Linked DNA regions of Mus musculus. The protein of the gene in region 6 interacts with the protein of the main gene of each other region in a pairwise test. Links are inferred from orthologs where the notes say so. Each region holds a gene or a part of one and is shown on either strand. Other genes may lie near its edges.

Region 1 (4,300 bases), on a different chromosome or scaffold from region 6:
ATAGTAAAACAGGCCAGTAAATGACATTTTCATGGGCAAAACAATGCAGACATTGAATGATGACTAAATTCAAAAAGTATTTTCTTGTGTTGAGTGGGAGAGGGCTATTAGAAGTATGAGTAATATTTGCAAAATCTATAACAAAAAAAAGCATTTAAAAATTATATGGCCGTCTGAGTACTTCAGTTCAAAGGCCACTCAGCATTCTTTAGAACAGGGAATAAAAGAACCTGCAAAGTAGTAACTTATAGCCGCCCTAAAAGCATGTACAGGCTCCCTAACTGAAAGTTATCTATCATCTTCCCACTGTGAAATTTTAAGTGCACGATGTGATTCTAAGCACGAGCACATAAGCAATAGAAATGCAGGATTTTATGGTTTCCTGCTGTAGAACAAAAAGCAACAGTCTGAAGAAAATTTTTTAAAAGTTCATGATGCGTCTCTATTTTCCGTAGGCCTCTAAATCTGCAATTGCCTCGTTTATTAAAGACTCAGAAGTGAAAAGAAGGCTCAGAAATGATCTTAGCCACCACTTACACCTTAACCCATCTTACATGCTAATTTTTTTTCTCCATGCTAATTTTTAAGCAACAGTGTCAGATATGCTTAACTGTACACACGTTCTTGAACTCTTAAATGGTTTTCCAGATAGCCACTGAGGGAGTACACTCCTGTGCCCCTACTTGGCCTGCTCTTTGAGAATGCAGGTAAAGAACTCCCACCCTCCCTCTCCCTTCTCCCTCGGCAACGCGAAACAGGCTAGGCACGCTCACGTGACGCTAATGACGTCAGCCCCCTCTGGGTCGCGTGACCCACAGCCAACCTTCCTACCGCCCCACCCCCTCGCCACTGGCGTGGGACATCTCGCGAGAAGCCTTCTTACTATCAGAACTTGCTGAGGTTACAGGGGAGTTACTCTGGAGAGGAAGGAAGGTGTGGCAGAGTGGTGCACTTTTGGGTTTCATTATGTTAGAGTTTATGATCAAGCAAATGCTTATGGGGATCGCCCTAGTCGGGAAAAGGGGAGAGAAGGGCGAAGACGTGACAGTAAAAACTGAAGCGAAACGTGGTGCCCTGACCATCTTTGCCCCTAGCTAAGGGACAGCCGGGCGCAGCAGAGGTGGCCAAGGCTGGCAGCCCCAGGCAGTAGCTGCGAGCCGGGGGACGTTGGACCCGGGTCTGGGAGCAGTAAACGCGAACCGCGCCCAGATGCAAGGGTTGCTTCCCTCTCTCGGCTTCCCCGGCCTCGCGGCCATCCCGCCCGGGTAGAGGCATCCGGGTTGTGGGAGCTTCGAGTGGTCTCTCATCTTTCCGCCCTTCGTGGGTCACTGCGACATCTCAGTCCCGTCCCCTTAAGCGCGCTCCCTGCTGCTCCGCGCATCTCCCTTCGGTCTCCCTAGACGGCTGCGGGAGAGCAGCCCGAAGGGACGCGGCTGGAGTCGCTAGAGGGAGGTGTGGGGCCGCCGAGGAGGGGGCTTCGCTGGGCGGGGAGAGGAGGGAGGAGGCGCCGGGGAGGAGCCGCGGCTGCCAGCTTCGCCCGAGCCGAGCGAGCGCACTCTGTCGCCCCGCGGGTTCCCAGCCTTGCGGCCCCGTGGAGAGGAGGGAGCGCGGGCCACCAGCGCCTCCTCTGCCCGCTGGAACGACCGGCTGGGTGTTCACTCGGCCGCTGCCGCCCGCCACTCCGGGCGCTGCGTTGAGCTCTCCGTGCGGCCTCGGTGACCGCGGCAACCCCTCCTGACACCTCTCCCCCGCCCCTTCGGGAGCCCTCGGCCCGGCCACCGCGGCGGGAGGAGGAGAGGACAAGGGATCGCGGAGCGGGCTGGTCTGGCCACCTCGCCCCGCGCGCCCCGCCCCTGCGCGCACTCCCTCGCCGGCGAGCTACTTTCGGACACGGAAAGTGAGGGCGGCCCCGGGTGACAGCGCGGCGGCGCCAGTCCCGGGAAGCCAGGTCTGTTCGCGTGTCGCCCGTCGCACTGTCCAGACCCCGCCATGGCTTCGACCACCACCTGCACCCGGTTCACCGACGAGTATCAGCTCTTTGAGGAGCTCGGAAAGTAAGCGTCCCTGCCTGGCATCTCCTCCTCCCCACGACCCCTCGTCTCCCTCGTGGGGATAGAGAGCCTGCGGGCCGAGGCGGGGAGACGGACCCTGGCTTGGTGCGGGTGGGGCACACAGGGAAGGAAACCTTTGCCCTACTGTGGCGGGTGCTCCGAATTCCCAGCCCATCTTCTCGGGTCCTCCACCTCTCCACGGGGGACTTAGTGAATTTATGATCTCTGCAGTTGTAGCTGTCATCCTGAGAAGTGTGCGCGCACGCGAGTGCGAATGTGTGTGTATGTGTGTTCGGAGAGGAAAGGAGATGCATGTAAAATGCAACATTTATCACATTTTTGGTAAATAGATGTCTCTTGCTCAGCCCGCGCTGTATCTGCGATCTGACCCAGGTTCGGATGAGCTAACGAGAGAACACTCGCTCTCTGAGATGGTGCCATATTTATCGATGCCGAAAGTTCAACTTGGCTTGGTGGAGAGTCTGGTTCGGCATCCAAGTAGTTGTTCCGTTCAGGAAAAGGGCCACCCAACAGAACCCACGTCCCTGCCATGTATCCGCTATCCTTCTTTGCACTAAGATGAGTCGCTCACCATCATTCTAGGATTTAGGTGTACATCGTCTCTGAGAGGATTTATTTATCCAGGCAGAGGAAAGCCCTAGAGCCCGAGAGAGCGTTTCCCCAGGGTAGCCTAGCTTGTGTAAAACGACCTCCTCCACTGAAGTGGCAGGACTTCCTTGAGATGTTAAGGAGGGACAGGGTACCTACTGAAGATCTGCACAGGGGCAACTAGAGACTCAGTCAGGAGGGAGTGTTGGTTTACCGAGCATCAAACCCCAAACCTATCGCTAATTTCCACTATCAGGGAAGGGATGCATTTGTGTGTGTGTGTGTGTGTGTGCTGTAGGTTTCCTTACAGTTGCATAAAAGGAAGTGTGAGCACTTTTAAATCAAATGAAAATGATATCTTTATAGATGATCTGCTGTTGAAACATGGAGTATGTCGGAAGAGCAGCTTAATTTAAATCTCTCCCCTCCCCCCAAGCCCAAACCAGGCAGAGAGAAATCACCTTACCCCAGAACCTGTTAAAGCACACCAGTGAGCTCGAGATTTATGTTTTAATGAAAACAATCGCCATATTTACTTAGTTGGAACCACGTTAATTATGTTTCCTACCGAAATAAACAGTTTTTTTTTTTTTTTCTTCTGTTCCCCAGCTCGGTCCTTTGCAGGGTTTGCTATGAGCATTTGGTGTTTTGTGAGTGTGAATTACAAATTGTTTTCAAATTTCATGTGCAAAAAAGAGTGGTCATAATTGGCATTACCTTCTATTTTGTTGATTAATAATCTGCGTGTTTCCAGTCAATTAAAAACGACTTTCATTCCACAACATTAAAAAAGATCTGGGCTGGCAGGAAAGAATTGTTTATTTTCTAGATAATGCTTTTATTATGTTGCTATTTGACAGACCACTAAAGGTTCATGAAACCGCTCAGATTTGTGAGTTTGCAAGTGGATACTAGATCTGATTATACTGACGACTTGCTAATTATTGGTTTCCAGGGGGGCGTTCTCAGTGGTGAGAAGATGTATGAAAATCCCTACTGGACAAGAGTATGCTGCCAAAATTATCAACACCAAAAAGCTTTCTGCTAGGGGTGGGTATTTTAAACCACATTTATTTATATATGTTAATGTTGTATTTGTTGTGTGAATGGTTGGTGTCTTCTAAGTAGTTATAGCATGTAGTTATAATTGAATTTTGGACTTAGGTATCATATTACATATTACCATTTTTCCTTGCCAAAAGCCTCTTGCTTTGTTTCCTTTGAAAAGTAGGTGAAAAATATAATTGTTATCAGCGAGTTATTAAAATGCTGTCTCCTAAGCAATGGTATAGATAAATATGTTGCAAAGCAAATAAATGTCATGAGGGGCCTTGCTGAAATCTGTTCAGAAGGATCTTGAAATGGAAAAAATGCAAGTCTCATAACTGTCATAATTCCCCTTTCACTTCTGAGACAAAAAAAAAAAATGGGTCATGGTTCAGTTGAATGTATGTTACAGTTGTAGTTACAGCTGAACTTAATACAGCGAGGTATATTTAACTTCAGTGGTTTGGGGAAGTAGGAAGAGATTTTTACTGTAATCTAGGAAGTTAGCTTGGCTTTGATATGTGTAGGCTAGGCCTTTTCTGGGTTTTCTGCATGAAACTTTCCATCAGATCATGCAATATATTTTACACCTT
Region 2 (4,189 bases), on a different chromosome or scaffold from region 6:
CTCACTTTGCATTTTGCACCAACATAACATGCCAAAACAATGATAAATTTCACAAACAAAAAGTAAAGCAAAAAAAAAATAGACACATCATTCATTTTACAAACATTAGACAATATTCATCGTTCTCCACGAGGCATTGTGCTAGACCTGAATCATCAGTAGAAATAAAAACAGCCACCGTCCCTGTTCCCATGGCGTTTGGTTCAGATAAGAGAGACAGAGATAAGCACAGATAAATATATGCAGTCACCTAGCAGGGTCATCTCAGAGAGATAGCCTTGCTCCTCAATGGGGATGGATTCCTTCTCTGGTGAGGAGGGAGAAGGGAGGGAGGAGGAAGGAGGGAGGGAGAGATTTAATTTTAGTGACATTTTATTAGACAAAAACATTCTACTGAATTCAAACTTCAAAATGTAGTGTTTTTAAAATAACCACATCCAGGCTGTAGGGTACTATAGAGAAAACTATTATGCGTATTTCTAGCATCGCTGCTGTTGTAAAATGTCTCCTCCTCTAGTCTCACGTAGCCGAGGCTGGCCTGGAACTTGCTGTCTCCGAGGATGTTGTGAATAAACTTGATCTTCTAATTTTTTGCCTCTACCTTCCAAGTGTTGAGATCACAGGTGTGTGCTGTCCCACACAGTTTATGTGGTACAAAGGCTTCAACCCAGGGCTTCCTATCTGCTAGGCAAGCATTCTGCTACCCAGGTATCTCTTGGTTTTCAAGTGCTGTTTTTATATTTTCAGAGGTAAGTTCAGACTTTCAACGTGGTTTTGCACATGAGGGTTTCGGGTTTTTGTTTGTTTGTTTGTTTCCATTTAAAAAATGCAATGAGAATTTCTCCATGTCATCAATTTTCCTAATCCGTAAGATGGTTGAAAAAAAATCATCCTACAGCTACACCTCGCAGCCCAGTTTGAGTACTTTTGTTTTCGCAGGGCAGAACTCTTATCTGGTCCTTGTTCAGGGCCTGTGTAAGGGCTTCCCAGAAAACTGTGGCTAAGGCCGTGGAGTCAGCACCCGCACAAAATCCCTCGACCTCAAGTTTTCCCAGAAGATTGAATCTTACGACTCCCCAAAAGCGGAAAGGTAGACATCTGGAGAAACTTGATGCAGCACGCCCAGAACTCCCCGGAGGTCGGAGAGGTGCCCAGGACATCTAGGTCCCAGAGGAGCCTTGTCAGTATTCTGCTCTCTGCGCGCTGCGGGCCCTATTAGGCTTACTCCGCTTTGCGCCTCCCCCACAACGCCGCTCCCTCTGAGCCCCCAATTCCGGCCACGGTTTTGAACTTGGGAGGAGCGCGCCCCAGGTCCCCGCCCTGCCCGGATCCACCACTCTCCCTACCGGGACCGCGCAGGCGCAGGCGGCTAAGCGTCCGGCCACAGTCCCGGAGCCTAAGGTTGCGCCCGTGCCATCGTTGCCACTTCCACCGCGCACCATGAGCCCGGGTCCCCGTCTGCTGCTGCCCGCGGTGCTCTGCCTGGGGCTTGGAGCCCTGGTGTCTTCTTCGGGGTCCTCAGGCGTCCGAAAACGAGGTCCCTCGGTGACGGACAAGGTGATCCAGCGGCTACAGAAACTTCTCCGGCGGGCCAGGCACTCGGGCGCAGTGGCAGGGCTGAAGAGCAAGGGCTCTTGAAGCGGGGCGGGAGGGGGGACTGAGGGGACTTCTGGGGTACTGACTGGGACAGCAGGGAGCTGGGGGTGGGTGCTGGAGGAGGGACTAACTGGGGCTTGAGACTGTCTGGGACTGGGGCGGGGGGCTTAGAGGTGGCCACGCGGCAGGCGGGAGGAGACGTCAGTGAACGGTGCGCTCCCAAGGCTCTGGGGCTACTGGACTAACTCTCGCCAACCCCAGAGAATTGTCACCCGGACTTAAACGACCTGAGCGGCTTGGGAGCTGGGACAAGCTCGCTGTGGCCGCAGGGCCTTTCTTCTAGAAGGGAAGTTGCTGGAGTACTTCCTTGGCGTGGCCTGGATGTGGAACAAAGCGGGAAGAATGTAGAGGGAAGGGCACAGGCTGAGGAGTGGAGGCCCAGCTGCCTGCTTAGGATGTCACCCGCTGGCCAGAGCCTGGGTCCCCAAGGAGTGCTCAAATGAGAACTGTCCTCTTCTGTTTAGGAACTGTCACCCTCCAAGAGGAAAGGGTACAGTTTAAAACCTTGTGGCTGGGCCTGGGTTTGAGCCCTAGGCAGCTTGAGAAGGCAACACTCTGACTCTTAAGGGAGGCACGTGGGGGAATCCCCAGGAACTCGGTTCCTACAGTTTCCTCTGCTGAAGTTCCATTTCAGTCTGTGTTACCAGAGGATCAAAAGGAAAGGAAGGGGCGGGGGTTGGTGGGGGGGGGGGGACTACTGCGGTGGGGTAACGACTACTTCCACTGCTAGAAAAAAAAATCTAGCAGTCTGGGAATGGGGTGGAAACAGCAGAAAGTGGTCTTGATGACCAGTTCAGGGTGCCACTGGAAATGATAGCTCAAGACTAGTAGAAGGTTTAAATCCTCCATCACAGGCTCAGCCAAAGAGCCAGCAAGGAGAGGGAAGTGAGCCCACCTATCCAGTCACTGTGTAAGCCAGCATGATCCAGCCTCAGGCAGCCCTTGATCCTTTGGGTATCTAAACCGAAAAACTGAGTTGTGCAAGCCACAGAGCTAAAGCATGCCTGGTCTGCGACTACTATTTCAGATAAAACCATAAATATAAAGTTCATACAGCTATGAAATAGCAAAGGAAGTGAGCCTGATATAGCTCGGAGTCATTTTAAAACACCTGACCGATGAGGGAAAAGCCAGCCTGGGAAAGGCTAGCGTGCCAAAGGGAATGCTTGTGAAATGGTCTCCAGGTGGATTAACCATTCTTGTCTCAGGACCTGCCTAAAGGACAACTTGTCTGTGGGGCAGGACTGAGGGCAGAGTGGCCTGAGATGAGGTTGGATATGAGCGAGGAACAGAAAGGCTCTGAACAGCCTTAGAAGGCTTTGCTAGGAGTGTGGCCACTGAGGGCATAGTTCTTAAGGCTTGGGTGTCACTCTAAGGCAGTGTTCCCCACCTTCCTAAGTCTACAACCCTTTAACACAGTTCCTCATGGTGTAGTGACCTCCCACCCATAAAATTATCTTCATCGCTCATTCACAACTGTAATTTTGCTACTGTTATAGGTTTTGATGTTAACATTTGATCTGCAGGATATCTGATATATCTCTGATAAGGGGGTTTCCACCTACAGGTTGAGAACCATTGCTCTGAGGTAAAGTGGCCGGAGGGGTCTGCACATGGAAATGACTTAATTTCATATATGCTCTTAAGAAATTCCTGTGGTCACTCTGGAGGGTGAATTGAGAGGCCATTCAGGGCTCCGTGCCAGACTCCAGATGGTGGGTTGGATAGGGGTGGTAACCTTGGGAATGAGGAACAGGAATTTGAAGTAGATATTGGAAGCGTTAACAGGACTCCCTGAAAGCTTAGGTAGAAGGGAGAATAGGGTAGTTAGATAGCCTATGATGCCCAAGTAGGTGGGAATTGCAAGTTAACAATGGGTTAATCTGTGCCCCCAGTTATGCTGGAAGTGTTTGACCAAGAGAGCTTTTAAACTGTATTGATAGAAATCAACTCAGAGCAAGTTAGCTACAGTCTCTGCAGTCTCTGGTGCAGCCTGAGGATAGCAGAGATCCTAGAAAGAAAAGACTGTGGCTGCAGGGGAAGGGGTGGGGCATCCTGACTAAGACTAGAGCATAGAACACTGGTGCTGAGACCTGGGCTCCGCCCTCAGAGCTGGCAACTTAGTTTCTTCTTTTTCACAAAGCTTAGTAAATTCTGACATCCAGAGGTAAGGTGAGCCTCTCACAGATCTGCTTCCTTGGGCCTCTTGAGTTACTTAACCAGTGTGTTACAACAATTCAATTTGGTGGAAAATAGAGACATTAAAATGGAAATGTAGCCAGGCCTTTAAATCTCAGCAGAGGCAGGCGGAAGGCCAGCCTGGTCTACAAAGTGAGTTCCAGGACAGCCAGGGCTATACAGAGAAACCCTGTCTGGAAAAACCAATAGATAGATAGATAGATAGATAGATAGATAGATAGATAGATAGATAGATAAAATGGAAATGTAGGTCAACTCCTTTGACTCTGGCCCACAGTCCTTTCTTTCACCATGACTTTATTTAAAGCTAGGAATCTGTAAATAAGAGGCCTGG
Region 3 (3,500 bases), on a different chromosome or scaffold from region 6:
TCACAGTCCTTATACCACTAAGTTTCATGTCCTTCCCAGATTCCTTCCATAGGCCCTCCCGTCATCTATAAGCTTTGCCCCATTCTTTTTTCTCCCAGGTTTGTCTGATTTTAATAGGCAACATGATCATTTTGTTATAAAAGTTTAAAAACCAGAACTAAACACTTAGGGGAAAACACTGTTCCTTAAAAATAATCTGTGTTGTGAGGTTCAGACATCTAACATTTTCCAAAGCAGTTAAGCTAATATGTGATGATAATCTAGTCCACAGGCCTGTCTCTGACTTCTATTACACTGAACAGCATATTTAGAGTGATGCTTCATGCTAAAGGATCAACATCAGCTTTAATGACTACAGAGCTCTCACCACGAGAATGTGTGTCATACTTTATTGAACCACTTCCACGTGCCTTGCTCACTTACCCTCCAGTTTCTCCAGGGTGAGCTGTGTTCTTGTATTTCCCTAAGCCCCAGGCCTTCCTTCCAATATCCACAGCCCCGTTATCCATTGCCAAGGGGATGTGAGAGCTCTCTACAATTAGCTTGGAATTGTATTTTCAAATGAGCATTGTAGAACTAGAAAATGCTGGAAGACCTGAATTAAATTCTTCCATCTCCCCTAGGGACAGCAAGGGAATTGTTTCATCCCACTGCTTAGAAAAACATACACAAGTGTCTCTGGTGAGAGAAAGGTCTTTGTTGAAACCTGAGTTGTTAGAACTTTCAATGTGCCAAGCCAACCTCAAATAAAACCATATTGAGATCATTCCTGTGTGGAGAAACCAGGCTCAATGGGTGAGTGGAGGGAAACATTTGACTGCATTAATTATTTAGACAGACAACTAATCTGACAAATGACGATTCACGAGCCGATTTTTATTCAAAAGCTGTGATTGATTCCTGACTAATTGTTTCCTTGTCTCAGTTGCGTTTCCTAATGATCCAGCTGCTCATGAGGTCCACAGTTCTGCAGAAGGCTGTAGCCAAATTATGCTGCAGTACCCTCACAATCCACTTCCTATCTGCAGGTGGTTTCCACTCCCATTTTCTTCCCATCAATGCTGAGGAGTAGGTAAAAGTGCTGTCATTAGTTCCCCATTATACATGATGCTAAATAAAGGAAGACATTCACCGGGCACATATTATATTCTAGGCAAGATGTTTGATGCATTATGGATACTATTTATTGCTCGCAAAAGCCATAATGAGGTAGACATTCTACTAACATCTTATTTTATACATGAACATAGTTCAAAAAAAATGTTAAACAACCCTAATCACATAAGTAGAAAGAGACAGAATCAGAATGCAAAATCAGTATGGAGCCAGAAAGAATCATTGACTCACAGTGCTGGCTGGTTTTATGTCAACTTGATATAAGCTAAAGTCATCTGAGAGAAGAGAACCTCAATTGAGAAAATGCCTCCATAGCACCAGGGCTGTAGGTAAACCTGTAGGACATTTTCTTAATTAATGACTGGTGTGAGAAGGCTCAGCTCATTGTGGGTGGTGCCACCCTGGGTTGGTGGTCCTGGGTTCTATAAGAAAGCAGGCTGAACAAGCACAAAGAGCAAGTCAGTAAGCAGCGCCCCTCTGTGGCCTCTGCATCAGCTCCTGCCTCCCAATTCCTGCCCTGCTTCAGTTCCTGTCCTGACTTCTTCAATAATAAACAGTGATGTGGAAGGATAAGCCAAAGGGTTTATACTCTTTAATCTCTAAGTTGCATTTGGTCAAGATGTTTCATCACAGCAATGGTAACCCTGACTAAGACATTCACTCAAAGTCACATAGCAGTGAGTCAATCCTAACACATACTCCCAGTATCAGGATTAACAACAAAAGCTCTAGACTCAGAACTCCTCGGTTCAGAGCTAATGTTTGCTGATACCGTTCCCCAACTGTGTCTGTCATCTTATGCAAGTTACCAAACCACCGTTACTCTGCTTCATCAGTAAATTGAATGGTGAACTTCTGTCTCAAAAGGTTACTGTGTTGTTTCTGTTTCCTAGATATTGTGAGCAGAGCAGTGATGTCCCGCACCTGAGGTTTGCATAACATTTCAGAAGAGGGGCAGAAAGATTGTGAGAGCCAAGCGATTGGGGAGTTTGTGTCTCCTAGTAATATCAGAAACTATTTCCATGAGGTTTCACCAACATGCAATCCCAGTATAAGCTGATTAAGGACAATACCACTAGTTTTTCCAGATACCTTTGTAGTGATAAAAGATACCTGCATATAAACACTGATTTAAAATTCTTTCATATGTATTTATTGTATAGTCAATAAAGTGCTGTAAATAAATGGGAACAATCAACTATAGCCACAAACCACCATCCAAATCAAAATATAAAATCAAGGTACTGCTAAGGTGGATGAGGAAAGCCCATGAGATCTCATCTTACACAAAGCACTACAGACAACCAAGAAAAGCTGGGACCAGGAGAGGCAGTGCTCCCCAGGAGAGGCAGTGCTCCCCAGATCAGAGCACAACAGTTGGTTATCCAGTGCCAGTCAACCCTGAAAACAGGCAAGGAACATTATTATACAAACCGAGGAGGTTGTATTTGGGACTATATGTGTGCATGTGTGGACATATATGCATGCAATAGCAATTGGTAAAGGTAGAAGCCTTGAATTTGAAGGAGAGTGGAGAAAGGAATGTGAGAGTATTTGAAGGGAGCAAAGTGGGAGAAACTAAGACCGCTATTTACATTAAATGAGACAAATGATCCACACACGATTATCATTAGTAGTTGGTATGAGACATTCCATTCTTCCACCCCTAATCTCAGTTCCTATTTTCTGCCCTGTGTCACTTACAGGTGCCTCGAGCCAAGGCCTTGTGCAACTACAGAGGGAAGAATCCTGGCGACCTGAAGTTTAATAAAGGCGATGTCATCCTCCTTCGGAGACAGCTTGATGAGAACTGGTACCAGGGGGAGATTAATGGCGTCAGCGGGATCTTCCCGGCCAGCTCTGTGGAAGTCATCAAACAGCTGCCCCAACCACCCCCACTCTGCAGAGCCCTCTACAACTTTGACCTTCGAGACAAGGATAAGAGTGAGAACCAGGACTGCCTGACCTTCCTCAAGGTAAGAGTCCCACACTACATACAGACTATGGCAGAACCCAGAGTCCATTGTTTAATACTTGCTGGTTTTTAAGAAGAATACGCATTTTACACATGAATGCACATGTGTGTGTATGTTTGTGTGTGTGAGCAACCACAAATATGTAAGCAATGTGTGTTTATGTGTATAATTTCAACTACATGGTTACTATCTCAGTCAATGTTCTATTGCTGTGAAGAGACACTAAGACCATGGCAACACTTACAAAAGAAAACACTTAATTGGGTCATCAACTGTGTTTTCAAAGGCTGTTGAAATCCTCTCACAGAAATCTAAGTTGGGGTTACTTTATTCTTTTCTTCTATGACAGGTTAACACGGGAGCACATGAAGTGGTGCTATTATAATTCCTCAGTAAACGTCTTCTGTA
Region 4 (3,053 bases), on a different chromosome or scaffold from region 6:
GGAGGCCAGAAGAGGGGATTGCATCTCCTTGAACCAGTCACTGGTAGCTGTGGGCTGCCATGTAGGTGCTGAAAATTGAGCAAGTACTTTTAACCAGTGAGCTATTTCTCTAGCCTCACTATCTTAATGTCTTTTGAGGCATGGCTTCTCACTAAACTTGAAGCTCATGATGCCGTGAGGATCCCTGGCCAATGAACCTCACTGGGGTAACAGGTACACTTGGTTCTTCTATGGGTGCTAGAGCTACAAACTCAGAGCCTCATGCTATTGTGACAGGCACTTTAGCAATTGAGGCATCTCCCCAGTCCTACAGTATCTTTAACATGTTATTTATTTGTTGTTGCTTTGTAGGCAAGCAGATCAAACCTTGCCAGGTAGGTATTCTAATACTAAAATATAACCAAGCCTTACATAACTTTTGTTAGATATGATTTTGTTCCTGTTTTTTTAACCTCTCCTATTTAATAACCTCCTTAAAAATCATACATATATAAAAAGAATCTGCAATTAAGATTTTATTTCATTCATATCACATGTAACAAGTGCAAGTTAATGTACAAATACTGACCACAACAAAGAAGGGGGAGTAACAATAAAAAGCTTACTTAGCAGATTCATGCAGAGAAATGAAGAAAGAGGACATTGCAGATGTCACGGACCCTGTTTACCTTGAATCATGACAAATGCAAAGGACTCCAACTATGGCACATCAAAGGAAGTCCTACATCAGAAAAACATTAAAGAGTTCATGGAAAGAGGTGGGACTTTCCCCCAGAGTTCTGACAGCATGCTACTAAACTTTATATTTTTAAATCAGTCCTTGAGTAAATGTCTAATTGTGGAATTAGAAAGTACATCCAAAGACTGACAAAATATTTTACCTTCCCCTTAGGAGGACACGCTTACAAACAAAACACTGCCAGCTATGAGTTTATAAATAACCATGGGCTCTCATTTAAAGTGCATTCAGATGCTTAGAAATCAAGGCAAAATATTTCATAGGAAAAGGACTCTTTCATCATCGGAGGTTCCCGAGTAATGGCTTTGGGAACCACTTTCTCAATCTGTGAGCGTGGCAAATTCTGCGGCTGCTGGTTACGAGGGTCACAGCAGGCCTGTGCAGTCAGGTGCTCACTCTGCTTCTCAGCTCACTCTGAGGAAATCCTCTGGGCCTAGAGGACCTGTGGCACGGATGGGAGCTCTTGGAGGATTAGTGTTTCCAGCAACAAGTGAGTCCTCTTCGGTACAGCACCAGCAACTTCCACGTCATTTACAGAGATGCACACAAGAACTTCACAGATCAAATTCCTCGTCAACATCCCTTGGGATGTGTAACTGCACAATCCTCTAATGCCAACTGCTGGAAACACATGGGCACCACGATGTACAAAATTGATTCTGTCCCGATACGCTACTTCCTTCAAATCTAAGTAGGTTTATATAGTTTATTCTTCAACTCCACTCTTTTATATACATTTTTTTTTGGTAATAATAATAGTAAAGATGCTGGTGAAAAGTACTTTAACAATTCATGATGCGTGCAAAAGTAAAAATGTGGATTCAAAGAAAGGTCGTATTTACAATTCTTCAGTCCCAACAGAGGATGACACACAGTTAGGCAATATCGTGACTCACAACATTACACTTGGCTAATGCTGCAATTCCAAATATGGCACAGGGCGAACATGACTGACACCAGTCCGAGGCTTAACCCAGCCAGGTTCAAAGGATTTGGTTTAGGTTGATATTCAGTTATATAAAAAGGTTTCTGAAAGTATTGAAAAAAAGAAGGTGTACATGAAAGAGACTCCGACAATGTTTACAAAATGCCAAAAGTTCTGATTGTGCCCCATCCATAAATAAAGAAGCCTCCTTCCCCCACCCTCCTCCCACATCCAAAAAAGGTAAGTTTACAAAGGTAAGTTTAGCTCAGTGAGCGGAACCAAAAGGTGACTGTTGTTGGACAGTTGCTGGTAAGAAGCTCAGGCATTTCCTAAGAATGCATATGCAGCTGGACGGACAGATGGAGCCCTGGAGTGCTGCTCCGGTGAATTCTGAAGACTTCTCACTTGGGAGCTAGAGCTGTCCTTGTGCTTTGAAGGAACATAATGAGCTATAAAGCAGAAGCCAATGGTGCCAGAATTCACCGTCTTCACAGTTCATTGTGGGAATTCTTCTCCGCAGCTTTGAACATCAGAATAGAGTTGAAAATTTTGAGAGCTGGGCCCAGCTTAATGCTCATGATTTTAACAATGTCTGTTTGGGTCATGAGTAAAAATGCTTCTCCATCAATTTGCTGAAATAAAGGGGGGAAAAAACAGAGGAGTGTGGATTAACCAGAGGGAGTATTGTGAGACTATTCCAAGCTTTATGCTGTATTATCAGCTGAATTCTATACAGCAATACTAACACAGCATACACAGGAGCTCTTAAACACAACATCCCCGATCCATGGGTCTTTCTTACCTAAAACCACACATCCAGCATTGTAAAGCTCAGTTATCTGAAACTGCAGTCCACAGAAGAAGGGAAAGTGGTCACATTTTCTTATAACTTAAAATTGTGTGTGTGTGTGTGTGTGTGTGTGTGTGTGTGTGTGTGAGAGAGAGAGAGAGAGAGAGAGAGAGAGAGAGAGAGAGAGGCCAGAGTTCAGTTACACATGTCAACCTCTCTAGCTTTCCACCTTATTCTCTGAGACAGTGTATCTTACTGAACCTGGAGCTTGCCGTTCCAGCTCAACTCTCTAGCCAGAAAGTTACAGCGATCCCACACCTATTTCTCAGTGCTGGTTTTACAGTTATGCACTGCCACGCTTGAATTTCTATGGGAGTTGTGGGGACCCAAAGGTCATAATATTTACTCTGCAAACACTTCATGAACCAAACCACCTTCCTATCCCCAAACCTTCTTGTGTTCTCCTCAATTAGGTACTGAGTCATTCATATATATATATATATATATATATATATATATATATATATATATAGTTTGTTTTGTTTGTTTGATTTAAGTTACAGAAGATTACAATGTTTTTGGACACAAAATAATTTGGG
Region 5 (3,500 bases), on a different chromosome or scaffold from region 6:
GCCCTCATCATTTCATTTGTAATGCCTGACTTGGTACCATGCAGTCTTATTTACCAGTCAGTGAAGCCATCCCAAAGGACGGATTAGCAAACTTTTTCTGTAAAAGGCCAAATAATAGATAATTGAGAGTCTGTGGGTTACACCCTCTGCTTTCACTTCCCAGGTCTGCACGGTAGCAGTGAGCTGTGGGTGATAAACACGTGGGTGGCTGTTTCCCAAACGAAAGCTTAGTAAAAGCAGTCTGGCTCATGGCTGCAGTTGGCCGACGGCTGTCCTGAGGATGGCCTTGGAAAGAAACTAAGGGATTTGTTTTTCTCAGAATCCTACAAACCCCATTTAGTAACGGATCTGCTTTTGCTCAAGGAAGCTGCTTTTGGTCGTGTGCTCCTAGAGTTCCAGGATGTCCTGCATCCTGCTGAGGGGATTTTATGACCTGGCCTAGGTAAGCAAGGGAGGTTTCATCACCGGTTCAGTGGTACCGGATCAGTGGCGTGGCTTCTGAATGCCTGTCGATTGATGGATGATGGTGCTGGAGATGAAACCCAGGGCCTTGTGCTCGGGAGGAAAGTGCTCTGCACTGAACTCCGTCCGTCTCCAGCCCTTAAAATGTGAATGCCCTGTTGTATAACCAAGGAGCTGAAACAGCAGTGCTAGTTACTCAGGAATTTTGGTATCTCTAACTGTAATAGAAAGAGAACAGTTTGCCTCAGAAAAACATATAGCTGGCTTAATTTTCCTTTAAAGAACCATACTTAACTTTCTTACAGTTTCTTATGAGGTGTTCAGGAGCATATCCTAATTGCTACATACAAGCGAGGCCTGTAATAGGAAGGATTTAGAGGTGTTTGGTTTTTTTGAAGGGTGATGCAAAGGTTCTGCAAGGAGAATGATGTGTGCCATATGTTCTTTAATATAGTTTGTTCATACCCTGATTCAGTTGCTGAATTTGGGCTGTCTGACTTTAGTTGACGCCTAATTTAATGCCCATTAAAAACCTTTGGGACCTCTTAAAAACCCTTGGGTCATAATTTATTCTAGGGATGACCTACTCCTTCTTACAGCTCCCCGGGGACAAAGAGTTTGTACCCTGGCAGCAGGATTTGGATGATTCTGTGAAGCCCGCCCAGCAGGCCCGGCCCACCGTTATCCGCTGGTCTGAAGGAGGCAAGGAGGTCTTCATCTCTGGGTCCTTCAACAATTGGAGCACCAAGATCCCTCTGATAAAGAGGTGAGGACAGGCGTCTCTGCTGAGTGTGCAGTGTGCAGGAGCAGACACCTGGCTGCCTTCCCTAAGGAAGAGAGCGGGCCTCAGGAGCTTCTGACAGCATTGTGTGTCCACGCTTCGGGACTCTGCTTCTCAAGCCATTGCTTGTCTGCAAGAAGTCTGGAAAACACTAATCCTTTTGCTTTGATTTCTGTATTAAAGCGAAATACATTGTGACATTGTAGGTATAATGTCAGTTTATTGCTGGCATAGCAGTAGTGAATGATTTAAGTGGTTGTCAGAGTGACCCTTTATGTAACGTCATTTTCCAGACAAGGCTCACCAAATTATGGGACGAGTACCCTGAAATATTTCCCAACCCAAACCTACCTTTTATGTTATTCATAATTCATACTTGTGAAGACTCTGCTTTGTGTGTAGTGTATGTGTGTGTGTAGTGTGTGTGTGTATGTATGCATGTACATTTGTATGTGCACCCATATGTGTGCATGTGAAGGCCACAGCAAGACCCAGTATCTTGCTCTGGCTTTCAGCCTTGTTGCTGAGCCACAATTCCTCCATTTCTACCAGCTTTACTGGCCAGCCTTTTCTCGGGTTCTGCTTGTCACAGTGCTGGAGTTGCAGGCGTGTGTAGCTGTGCCCAGCTTTTTCCATGGATACTGGGGGTTCGCACTCAGGTCCTGAAGCTCACAACAAGCACTCTTACTGGTTGAGCCGATCTCCCTAACTCTAAGAAATCAGAATGTGCCGTGCAGTGGTGGCTCACGCCTTTAATCCCAGCTCTTGGGAGGCAGAGGCAGGCCTGGTCTACAGAGTGAGTTCCAGGACAGCCAGGGCCACACAGAAGAACCCTGTCTCGAAAAACCAAAAAAAAAAAAAAAAAAAAAAGAAAAAGAAATCTGAACGTTTTGTCAGTCACACTTTCCCCCCCTCAACACACACACATGTTCAAGAACAGCATTAGTGGGAGAGGTTGACAAGCAGGTGTGTTAACTGCTAAGGTGTGCAGGGGTAGGGTGCACACAAGGGCCGTAGCTTAGGAACGGATGAGGTCATTGCGGTGGCCCCATCGTTCCCTCTTGCTTTTCCACACTCTGTCTTCTTTAAGGAGCTTGGCCTGTCTGACCTTCTGTTTCCTTCTCTAGTCATAATGACTTCGTTGCCATCCTGGATCTTCCAGAGGGAGAGCATCAGTACAAGTTCTTTGTGGACGGACAGTGGGTTCATGATCCGTCAGAGGTAAGGCCTGCATTTGCAGCGGAGCCTCGGCGGCCTCCTTATGACTTTATGCCCTCCAGTTCATGGGCACCAGGCTCCCTGCTAGAGACTTGTCATAGCAGGAGAGGGGCCAGTTGGGTGACGATGTGGATTGAAAAGGGTATCCAGTTTGATTTTATTTATTTGTTTGTTTATATTTCTTCACTGTTTCAGCCTGTGGTTACCAGTCAGCTTGGAACAATTAATAACTTGATCCACGTCAAGAAATCTGATTTTGAAGTATTTGACGCTTTAAAGTTAGACTCTATGGAAAGCTCGGAGACGTCATGTCGAGGTACTATTGTCCTGTTGCTTCCTCTTGCTGGGTCTTTCTTACAGTGCATATTCCTTCCCCAAACTGGTTTCTTGCTTTATTTTGCATTTTTCTGTTTTCTCAGGAATCTTATAATCACACACACATGCACACACACGCACGCACGCACATGCTCACACACAAATCCCATGGTATAATGTCTGCCTTTTTTACTCTGATACACTGTTCTCCGTTTTACCTTTTATGTAACCCACCAGTAGTCTGCGGTTTCAAATGCTATTTCCAGTAAGATTTCACACTTTCCATGAGCATCTGGTGATATTACCTGTCGAGGCTGGGTACGTCTAGTTTGTCTCATTAACCTGAATCAGCTAGTTTGAGAGCTCAACTGGCAATTATGATTTTATGAGAGCCTACAAGTATAATTGTCACTGAGGGGGTGTGAGAAAAAAAAAACCCAAATCAATAGTTGCTCTATGTAGAACTGAATCTACAGGGACCGTCCTGTACATTTTTGTCTCGAGTATACTTCTGTCCCCAAGGCCTTGCTTGGTGCTTGTTCACTCAGGTGACAGAGACACACTGTGCAAAATCTCCATAGTCACTGTCCTGTTACTGAATGATGGGAGATGTGCCTGCCTAGAGAACTGCACACCTTATCCACTGAGCAGATCTCTTGTTTGCAAAGAGAATGAAACAAGGTCTCTTGTTTGCAGAGCCTGCCTTGGCTACTAGTCATGCCAT
Region 6 (4,244 bases):
CGTCACCATTACTCTGTTTTTCCGTGCGGTCAGGCATTCATGTTCAGAACTCTCACAACTACAGTTTTAAAATCTGGGCCCAATTGAGGGGCGGTGGGAGGAGATAGTACAACTCTCTAAGAGTTTCTGGCCAAGTTCCTCGTAGTTCCTCTGGGCTTAGCTTTCTTTCTTTTTATTTTAAAGATTTATTTATTTATTTCATGTATGTGGGTACACTGTCACTGTCTTCAGACACACCAGAAGAGGGCATTGGGTTCCCATTACAGATGGTTGTGAGCCATCATGTAGTTCCTGGGGTTTGAACTCAGGACCTCTGGAAGAGCAGTCAGTGCTTTTTTTTTTTTTTTTTTTTTTTTCCCCAAATGAGACAGGGCTTCTCTGTATAACTCTGGCTGTCCTGGAACTCACTCTGTAGATTGGGCTGGCTCGAACTCAGAAATCTGGCTGCCTTTACCTTCCAAGTGCTGGGATTAAAGGTGTGCGCCACCACTGCCCAGCAGGTCTCATTTTAACAGCACAGTTCTAGGTTGAAATCTTCAAGACAATCCTGAGGTAAAGTGGCACAGGATCAAACCCCAGACAGAGCACAGTGGTTTAGAAGGGCTGTCCCAAGGTTGCCCAGCTGGTAGCTGCACTGAGTCATGGCTTTATTATCGGCACAGGGGAACGGGCAGGAAACAGGTTTTTGTTTTGTTTAGTTTTCTAAGTGAAAATAACTCCTGTAATCCCGGTTTGTAGGATTGCTCACTGCGAACATGCAGAAGGGGACAGCCTGGAAAGGAACACTGACGACAGACCAGGTGCAGAGAACCATTAGTGGCATTTCTGGCAACAAATGCACATCGATGCTGCATAGCTCCTATTGCATGATACGTAAGCATGTCACATATAATCTCTATCACAGTGACAGTGTCCCCACGACCAGCTTGTCCATAAGGAAGTCAGGCAACTTTCCAGACAATGCCACTGAACGAGCCCGGAACGTCTGAGACCGATGCCAGGTAGAGTAGGTAGGACGGGTTTGGGAGCGTACAGCCCATTTGAGCCGCTGACACTACAAGTCCCAGCAGCCCTCAGGGCAGGGAAGGCATGGGGCAGCCAGAATCCGGATGGACTACAAATCCCAGCAGGCAAATCATGGCCGCAGAGACTACCAGTCCCAGGACGCATCGTGCCACACACAGCGCACACTGGGATTTGTAGTCGTCAGGGCAGCGTTAGTGTGTTCACACCCATCAAAGAGGACGTACATTCCTCAGATTGAACACTGGAGGATTTACTGCTTTAGCAAGTAACATGGACGTGAGATGGGGAAGTAAGGGCCCAGCGAGTCAACTCTCGGAGCAGGGGAGGACAACTGCGCATGCTCGTTGGAGTCCGTCGGCGAAAGCGCGCGCCAGAGGCGCCCAGAGCAGGCCCCGCCCCCTTCCCGACCGGCCCCGCCCTTGAGCCGGGAGCCCAGGGAGCCTGCGCTGAGGGCGGGGCGCAGGCCGTGGGGAGGCGCTCGCGGCGCCTGCGCAGAGCGGCTGCTTCTCTCGCGAGGACGGACGCCATTATCGCAGCTCCCCGACAAACACCACGAGAATTCCGCAGCCCACACGGTAATTGCAGCTCCCGCAGCCGGTCGCGCCTCCACTCCCCCTTCCCGCGGGGCGAGAGCGAGAGCGAGAGCGAGATCTCCGGCCGCCCCCGCCCCGCCCCGCCGCCAACCGTCGCCAACGGCCACGGGGCCGCACGCCGGGCTGGGCGGGGGCCGGCGGGCCGCGGGATGTCCGCGCGTCGCCTCCGCGCCTCCACCCGCCGGGGCTGCGGGACCCGGGAAGCGAGCGAGCGAGCGGGCGAGCGGCCGAGGCCCGGCGGCCGTGCTCGCGTGCGTTCGGCTCCGGGGCCTCGGCGCCTCCCGGGCCCGCGCCCGGCGCTCCTGTCACGGGCTCGGCGCGCGGGCGCTGTGGCCCTGGCTCGGCCGCCCAAGTCTCTCAGGACTGAGCCTCGCGCGCTGCGCCCGGGCCCCGCGCGCCGCCCCGCCGCCTAGGTGGCCCCATCTCCCGGCCGTTGTTGGCGCTATGCCCCGGTAACCGGGTGACTTCGCCCTGGTTGGCGCGTCCGCCCGCCTCTGCTCTGCTCTCTGTTGACATCGGGGCCGAGACTGGTGCTCGCTTCCCCACCTAGCGTCACGTCCCCGTCCCGCACAGCCTGGCTCTTTTTTTTCCTTGTTACTTGTGGTGGCCTTTGTTTCTCTGCTCCTGGTGACATTGTAACTTCTCGGAGATAGTGTGGAACCTCCGGCTTCCCTCTACCTCCTCTCTGCCTTTCTTCTAATCTGGGTTGGGGACGCTTTAGGCGGGTGCAGGTAGGTCCCGAGGTCTTTCTTTCGCTGCACGCCTGGTCAGCTCAGGACGCAGTGTTTCAGTCAGCTTTCTTCTTGAGTCCCCAGGGAGCCTCTGCCAAGGACTTCCTTTCTGGTAACTGTTTCCTCCCTGGACCGGCCTAAGGTCTTCTTGGCATTGGAACAGGTCTGCCCTTCGCAGGTATGCTCGGTAGGCGTGTCCTCGAGCGCTGGGAGATTGTCCCAAGAGCCTTTCTTAAAGTCGTTAGAGAGTTTGTCGCCCTCCCCCCCACCCCCGCCCCATTTGGGCACACTACTTGAGTTTCTTTATCTTTCTATTCCTTTTTGATTTTCATTCCAGGAAAGAACTTCAGTTTATCTTTCACCCCAGTGGCGCAGGACTTTTAATTCCAAGCACTTAGGAGACAGAGGCAGGTGGATCTTTGCCAGTTTGAGGCAACCTCGTTTACATAGTGTTTACATAGGCAACCTCCCCTATCTCGGGGAGGGGGCCGGCGAATCCACCATCAGAATTGTAGTTTCTGAGCAGGGCATAGAGAGGTACACACCTCTAGCCCCAGCACTTGGGAGGCAGAGGCAGGCGGATCTCTTAAGTCTGACACCATCCTGCTCTACAGAGTGAGTTCTAGGACAGCCAGAACTACACAGAGAAACCTTGTCTTGAAAAACGAAACAAACAAAAAAAAATTTCTGAATGTATTTGTTCTTTTCCTTTTGTTCAGTAGTTTGTTTCATGAATATGTTTTCTCTTTCAGGCTGAGAAAACTATTAGGGGTTCTTTTCAGTTCTCTTATCTGACTTCTTGTTTATCACTTTTGGGGGGTGGGTGGTAAATGTTAGCTTCTTGCTTTGGATGGCAGGTCCTCCAATAGTGCTAATTATTATTGCTTAAACCTTAGACTTTAAGGTAAGAGGAAACTGGCAGGGGGCCCTGGGTCTGTGGAGAGGGGTTTAAAAATGGTTTTCCCCACTAGTGTCTGGGAGAGGTTGTTACCTCAAGACTTGGAGGACCACATAACAGACACCTTATATCTGGGCTGTTTATGCATCTTCCAGGGTCTGTCTCCCTTTGCTTGGAAGCTGTTTTGCTTGTCAGGGGTGGCTGTGGAGACTGCTGAGGGCCAGGTGGGGCCTGGAGCCCCACTCCTGTGTCCTGCAAGCTATCTAGATCCTCTGTCAGAAGTTTAAGTCTTTGGCTGTGCTCTATTTTCTTGTGAGCTGATTGTACTGTAGTAAGTATTTTAGTGGGGTAAGTGGAGATTGTTTACAAGGCCACTCATCTTGAACAGGAATTTCAAAGCCTGTTGTCTTCATTCAGACAATTTGTCTCCTTCCATTTTTTGCTCTTTGTGACGGATGTGTGCCAGAACATGGTGTCTGGCTGCCTCCAGTTGACTGGGTGGTCCTTTGGTAGGGTACCGGGATGCAGAGGACTGGTCCCACACTGAGATTAGGATGCAGAGGACTGGTCCCACACTGAGATTAGGCACTTGATTTGACTTGTCTGGTGAGCTCTGAGTTTAGCCTCTTCACTTTGTTGCTGGGCTAGTGCAAGTAGCTAGCATATTATGCATGGTTCATTGATCCCGAGGTGCGCAGTGCAGTGTTTGCCGCGCCCATAGCACAGGGATAGCGAGGCGCTGTTTTGGGCTGGCACCCTTGCCCAGGGCCTTGCAGCAGAGTCCACAGCAACCCACACTTCATGAGCATTCTGAGGTCCACCTGCAGAGTTAGTCTGTGGTTAAGAATTTCAGAGAAACTGAATGAGCTTCCTCTTCCCCTTCATTTTCTCTCTTGGCTAACAGGAAGGTTACCTAGATTATAAAGACCATACACACGTTTCAATGTCCCACTGACATCTTTTGTTTGTTTTGTTTCAGGATGTAATTCAAGACTC
Region 7 (4,300 bases), on a different chromosome or scaffold from region 6:
CTAGGACCTAGTTCATTTTGGTATATGCTGTGACTCGGTTGTTGTTGTTACAGTAGTGAGGCTCAAACTCAGAGCATGACGTGTGTAAGCACACAGGGCAAGTGCTCTGCCATTAAGCTACATCTAGAGATGCTCCCACCCCCGTCATATTTTGTGTCTGAAGTTTTTTGTTTACTGGTAGGCTCTAGTTGCTCGTGTACCACTTGTTAGAGATGTCCTTCCTCCACTGAATTGCTTTGGTGTCTCTGGGAGTATTTGTGTGGCTATTTTCCCATCTCTTCTCTTTTCCATTAAGTCGTGCTTTTGTCTTGATTCCTGTTCCTATTTCCTGACATCCACATGGTTGTTCCAGACCCCACATGTCAGATCTTGGGAGGAGTTCTTCCCACCAGGTCAGCTGCCAGGATCCAGCAGGAGCAACATAGATGCCAGCCTCTGCTGCCAGTCTGGCACATTCTGTCTCCAGCTGCCTAGGCAGGACCTGGCCTGGGCTAGAATCAAGTGTAGTTGCCTCTGAGGGCCAGGGGACAGAGCCTGTGGATGAGGTGGATGAGGTTTCTCTTCCCTGGTAGCCTGGTGCTGGGTGTGAGAAGGATCTCTGGGAGCCTAAGGCTGCCCAGGCAAGGGCAAGTCACAGTCCCCTTTTCTCTCTTTCTCTTATCCGTTCTGGGGCTTTGTGTGTGTAGCCCTGCCCTGCAGAGCCTCCAGGTCTGTACTGAGCCCTGAGTGGTAAGCACAAAGAAATGTTTGTTCCAGAGCTGAGTGGGTGCTGCGATACCCCTCTCTCCCCTAGACAAGAGGCTTGTGAGTGCTGAGTGGAAGATGGAAATCACCAGATCTGATAATGGTTCAAAAGGTATGTGTGGCAATCACACAGCCCCTACCAAGAGAGGGTTTCAGACAGGAGCACCCAGGCCTTCCCAGAGGTCCCTGAGAAGTGCCCAACACATGGCTTGTGTGCCATTCTGGTGAGACCAAGCAGAGGTAGGCACGCATGTGGTCCAGGGTATATTAGGACCTGAGTGGATGAGGCACTGAGAAAGGCAAGGAGTGGGAGTCTTCTGTACCAGTCGCTGCTCTTACCTGCTGTTGCCTCCCTGTCCACCAGCCACTGCTACGGTTTTCTAAGAATGAAGCCCAGTTGGTCCCATCTTGTAGATGTGCGTTAGCATGGTCTGGCTTTGTGACTACCCCCCACACCTGCTGTGCTGTGTGTGTCACTGCCATGTTGGGAATTCACAAGTGTCACAGATGGGTCTTTGGGGGGGGGCAAGATGTCCACTTGACCATATACTTAAGGTCATATTTGTCTCAGGGGTGTGTGTGTATGTGTGTGTGTGTGTGCACCTACATGCATGCATACATGCACGCACGCGCGCGCGCGCACACACACACACACACACACACACACACACACACACACACGCCTGCTCCCCTCAAGTCGTCTGGATCAGCTTGAAGGTCCTGTGACCTGAAGCCCTTCTGCCACCCTCTTGATAGGAGAGAGCTGCCAACCAGGGGCTGGGTCAGTGCCTGTGTCCTGTGTCAGCCGTGTCGGTACAGCCACCCTAAGGCCAACCTGGTGGATGGACTGCCGTTGTACATCTGCTGCCTGACTTTTCAGCATCTGCCTCAAAGAACACTCAAGCTCTGCTCCTTCTCAGGTCTCTGGGCTCCGCAGGGTGGGGGCTACCCCTCTGACCTTCTCCAGGGCCTGCTGAGGGTTCCTGGCTTCCTATGATTTATATGGGAAAGGGAATGTGGGAAGTATTTGATATCAGAAAGCCCTTTCCAGGGTTGATCCAATGGCTTAAGATGACAGAGCCCTTGTTAGAGTTGCTTTGCACTGCATTCTGGGCTGACATTTGCCAACGCTACTACCCTGGCTTTGTCCGTGCTACCATGAGCATCTAAGCTCCTGCCTTCTCCCTCCTGTCCCGCAGCCGGAGCAGCAACTCCCGGATAAGCTCCAGCACATTGGGCCTGTAGGCTGCTCCATCACCAATGAACCCCATGAACCCCATGAAACCCGCCCTGCCCCCTGCACCACACGGGTGAGTGTGGGCTTCTGTGGCCTGCCTCTAGCAAGCCCTTGGCCTTCTGACCCTGCCTTAACCAGCTGCTCTCTTTTAGTGATGGTTCATTTGCATATGAGTCTGTGCCTTGGCAACAAAGTGCCACTCAGCCAGCTGGGTCACTGTCTGTGGTCACTACTGTGTGGGGAGTTGGCAACGCAACCCAGAGCCAGGTGAGTGTGTATCAGGGCCACCCCACTCCCACCCCCACCCCCCAGCCCTCAGGATCCAGAGTCTTGGTGGTGCCTCTACCATCTTAGGGCTCCAAGAACCAGGGACCAAGCGGACTGTCTGAAGCACAAGGATGGGGCTTCCTGAGGGTCTCAAGTCACTAGGTGCCTTTCTTCTGTACTACCATGGGATGTCTTCCCCTGGCTCCAGAGACCCTTCCAGTCAGAACTATAGACAACCACTCCTGCCACCCAGGTCCTCCCCCATTTGCTGGGCATCTCTTGGCATCTAGCACTTTAGGGCTGTGTCTTAAAGACAGTAGTTTGGCTGGTTCTCTCTGGTGACTCCCACTTCCTTGTAGGTTTTAGGGAACCCCATGGGCCCTGCAGGAAGCCCCCCTGGTGGTTCCATGATGCCTGGTGTGGCAGGTGGCAGCTCTGCCTTGACCTCCCCGCAGTGCCTGGGACAGCAGGCGTTTGCTGAAGGAGGTGCTAGCAAGAGCTACGTACAGCAAGGCGTGTATGGCCGAGGGAGCTACCCTGGGGGATCCAGCTTCACTACTGGGTAAGCCAGTGACTTGAAACCATCAGCCTGTCAGTCCTGCAGAAGGGTTGGATGTTGCCTGCTCCTCCCCTACTGTCTCTAGTAGCTACAGTGGAAGTTCTGTTGAGAATGGAAGAAGTGAGTGGAGGGAGGGGAGAGAAAATTAAAAAAAATAAAAAAGAATGGAAGAAGTGCTGTGTGTCCCAGAGAAAGCCTCTCTAGACAGTAAGGCAATCCTGTATCACCTACAGGTATGCAGGAGGCCCTGCAGGCCTGGGGCTCCCCACACATGCAGCACGGCCCTCAACTGACTTCACACAAGCAGCAGCTGCAGCTGCCATGGCTGCTGCTGCAGCCACCGCGACAGCCACAGCCACAGCCACGGTGGCTGCCCTGCAGGAGAAGCAGAGCCAGGAGCTAAGTCAGTATGGAGCGGTAAGGCCCCCTCCAGCTTCTTCCATGTGCTAGTAATTATGAGTGGGCTCGTAGATTTGGCAAGGCAGCAGGTTCTGGGGACAAGTGTGGACTGTGCTGGGTTTCCCGAGGCCAGTGAGAGAGAGGACCATGGCAGCAGCTGAGAGCGGGTCTGACTGTTCCTCTTCTTTCTCCTCTCAGATGGGGACTGGGCAGTCTTTTAACAGCCAGTTTCTGCAGCATGGAGGTCCTCGAGGACCCAGTGTGCCCCCTGGCATGAACCCTTCAGGCATGGGAGGAATGATGGGCCCCTCTGGCCTTTCTTCAATGGCCATGACTCCTACCCGGGCAGCAGGCATGACACCCTTATATGCAGGACAGCGACTGCCTCAGCATGGGTACCCTGGGCCTCCGCAGGGGCAGCCACTGCCTCGACAGGGGATCAAGAGAGCCTACTCAGAGGTGGGTATCTTGCTGGCTCAGGTTCGGTCCTAGATGATGAGTCAACTACCCTAGCACCCTCCCAAGTTATGACAAGGGTGGCATCTGGAATGAGAGAGAACTGCCTGTGCCCAACAGGATCACATACACGCACACGCACTCACGTTCACATATATACATGCATGCAAACTGCTTTCCCCTGATACCTCTCTTTCCCTGGACATCTGCTTCTTCTCAGGTGTATCCTGGGCAGCAGTATCTGCAAGGAGGCCAGTATGCAGCCAACACTGCCCAGTATGCTCCTGGCCCTGGGCAGCCCCCTGGCCCTGCCTCCTCCTATGCAGGACACAGACTACCCCTGCAGCAGGGAATGGCCCAGTCCCTGTCTGCGCCTGGCCCCACGGGACTGCATTACAAGGTAGGACTGGCTCCCGTGGGCCTAGGCTGGGTTGAGTGCCACCGGGCTCAGTGGGCCTTAGGCAGGTTGGCCAGGGAATCCTAAGCAGTACGAGAACAGCTCTCAGGGTGACTGGTGGTACGCACATGCCTGCCCGCCTGCCTACCCGTGAGCAATTGGTGTAGGGAACAGCAGGTAGGCTTCCAAGCCATACTCTGGTGCGGCTGTGCATTTCGCTCCCTCACTCCTCTACCCTGCA

The links.
Region 1: the proteins of Banp (region 6) and Camk2d interact in binary tests that used the Homo sapiens proteins (3 or more experiments, as listed by UniProt). The two-hybrid records come from large-scale screens. The link is inferred for Mus musculus from reciprocal best matches to the Homo sapiens genes BANP and CAMK2D.
Region 2: the proteins of Banp (region 6) and Ppic interact in binary tests that used the Homo sapiens proteins (3 or more experiments, as listed by UniProt). The two-hybrid records come from large-scale screens. The link is inferred for Mus musculus from reciprocal best matches to the Homo sapiens genes BANP and PPIC.
Region 3: the proteins of Banp (region 6) and Sh3rf2 interact in binary tests that used the Homo sapiens proteins (3 or more experiments, as listed by UniProt). The two-hybrid records come from large-scale screens. The link is inferred for Mus musculus from reciprocal best matches to the Homo sapiens genes BANP and SH3RF2.
Region 4: the proteins of Banp (region 6) and L3mbtl3 interact in binary tests that used the Homo sapiens proteins (3 or more experiments, as listed by UniProt). The two-hybrid records come from large-scale screens. The link is inferred for Mus musculus from reciprocal best matches to the Homo sapiens genes BANP and L3MBTL3.
Region 5: the proteins of Banp (region 6) and Prkab2 interact in binary tests that used the Homo sapiens proteins (3 or more experiments, as listed by UniProt). The link is inferred for Mus musculus from reciprocal best matches to the Homo sapiens genes BANP and PRKAB2.
Region 7: the proteins of Banp (region 6) and Zmiz2 interact in binary tests that used the Homo sapiens proteins (3 or more experiments, as listed by UniProt). The two-hybrid records come from large-scale screens. The link is inferred for Mus musculus from reciprocal best matches to the Homo sapiens genes BANP and ZMIZ2.

What each region holds. Positions count from the first base shown.
Region 1 is NC_000069.6:126,595,451-126,599,750, forward strand, and holds the start of Camk2d (calcium/calmodulin-dependent protein kinase type II subunit delta), read left to right. Parts: upstream 1-1,500; 5' UTR 1,501-1,989; coding exon 1,990-2,054; intron 2,055-3,615; coding exon 3,616-3,710; intron 3,711-4,300. UniProt on the Homo sapiens protein: Calcium/calmodulin-dependent protein kinase involved in the regulation of Ca(2+) homeostatis and excitation-contraction coupling (ECC) in heart by targeting ion channels, transporters and accessory proteins involved in Ca(2+) influx into the myocyte, Ca(2+) release from the sarcoplasmic reticulum (SR), SR Ca(2+) uptake and Na(+) and K(+) channel transport.
Region 2 is NC_000084.6:53,415,208-53,419,396, reverse strand, and holds the start of Ppic (peptidyl-prolyl cis-trans isomerase C precursor), read left to right. Parts: upstream 1-1,389; 5' UTR 1,390-1,440; coding exon 1,441-1,557; intron 1,558-4,189. UniProt on the Homo sapiens protein: PPIase that catalyzes the cis-trans isomerization of proline imidic peptide bonds in oligopeptides and may therefore assist protein folding.
Region 3 is NC_000084.6:42,098,710-42,102,209, forward strand, and holds part of Sh3rf2 (E3 ubiquitin-protein ligase SH3RF2), read left to right. Parts: intron 1-2,822; coding exon 2,823-3,092; intron 3,093-3,500. UniProt on the Homo sapiens protein: Has E3 ubiquitin-protein ligase activity. Acts as an anti-apoptotic regulator of the JNK pathway by ubiquitinating and promoting the degradation of SH3RF1, a scaffold protein that is required for pro-apoptotic JNK activation.
Region 4 is NC_000076.6:26,273,968-26,277,020, forward strand, and holds the end of L3mbtl3 (lethal(3)malignant brain tumor-like protein 3), read right to left. Parts: intron 2,297-3,053; coding exon 2,153-2,296; 3' UTR 501-2,152; downstream 1-500. UniProt on the Homo sapiens protein: Is a negative regulator of Notch target genes expression, required for RBPJ-mediated transcriptional repression. It recruits KDM1A to Notch-responsive elements and promotes KDM1A-mediated H3K4me demethylation.
Region 5 is NC_000069.6:97,661,212-97,664,711, forward strand, and holds part of Prkab2 (5'-AMP-activated protein kinase subunit beta-2), read left to right. Parts: intron 1-1,038; exon of another isoform or gene 1,039-1,040; coding exon of another isoform or gene 1,041-1,061; coding exon 1,062-1,228; intron 1,229-2,370; coding exon 2,371-2,464; intron 2,465-2,656; coding exon 2,657-2,777; intron 2,778-3,500. UniProt on the Homo sapiens protein: Non-catalytic subunit of AMP-activated protein kinase (AMPK), an energy sensor protein kinase that plays a key role in regulating cellular energy metabolism.
Region 6 is NC_000074.6:121,949,048-121,953,291, forward strand, and holds the start of Banp (protein BANP), read left to right. Parts: upstream 1-1,444; 5' UTR 1,445-1,601; intron 1,602-4,244. UniProt on the Homo sapiens protein: Controls V(D)J recombination during T-cell development by repressing T-cell receptor (TCR) beta enhancer function. Binds to scaffold/matrix attachment region beta (S/MARbeta), an ATC-rich DNA sequence located upstream of the TCR beta enhancer.
Region 7 is NC_000077.6:6,393,625-6,397,924, forward strand, and holds the start of Zmiz2 (zinc finger MIZ domain-containing protein 2), read left to right. Parts: upstream 1-1,500; 5' UTR 1,501-1,664; intron 1,665-1,943; 5' UTR 1,944-2,004; coding exon 2,005-2,054; intron 2,055-2,133; coding exon 2,134-2,248; intron 2,249-2,607; coding exon 2,608-2,810; intron 2,811-3,040; coding exon 3,041-3,224; intron 3,225-3,404; coding exon 3,405-3,665; intron 3,666-3,882; coding exon 3,883-4,062; intron 4,063-4,300. UniProt on the Homo sapiens protein: Increases ligand-dependent transcriptional activity of AR and other nuclear hormone receptors.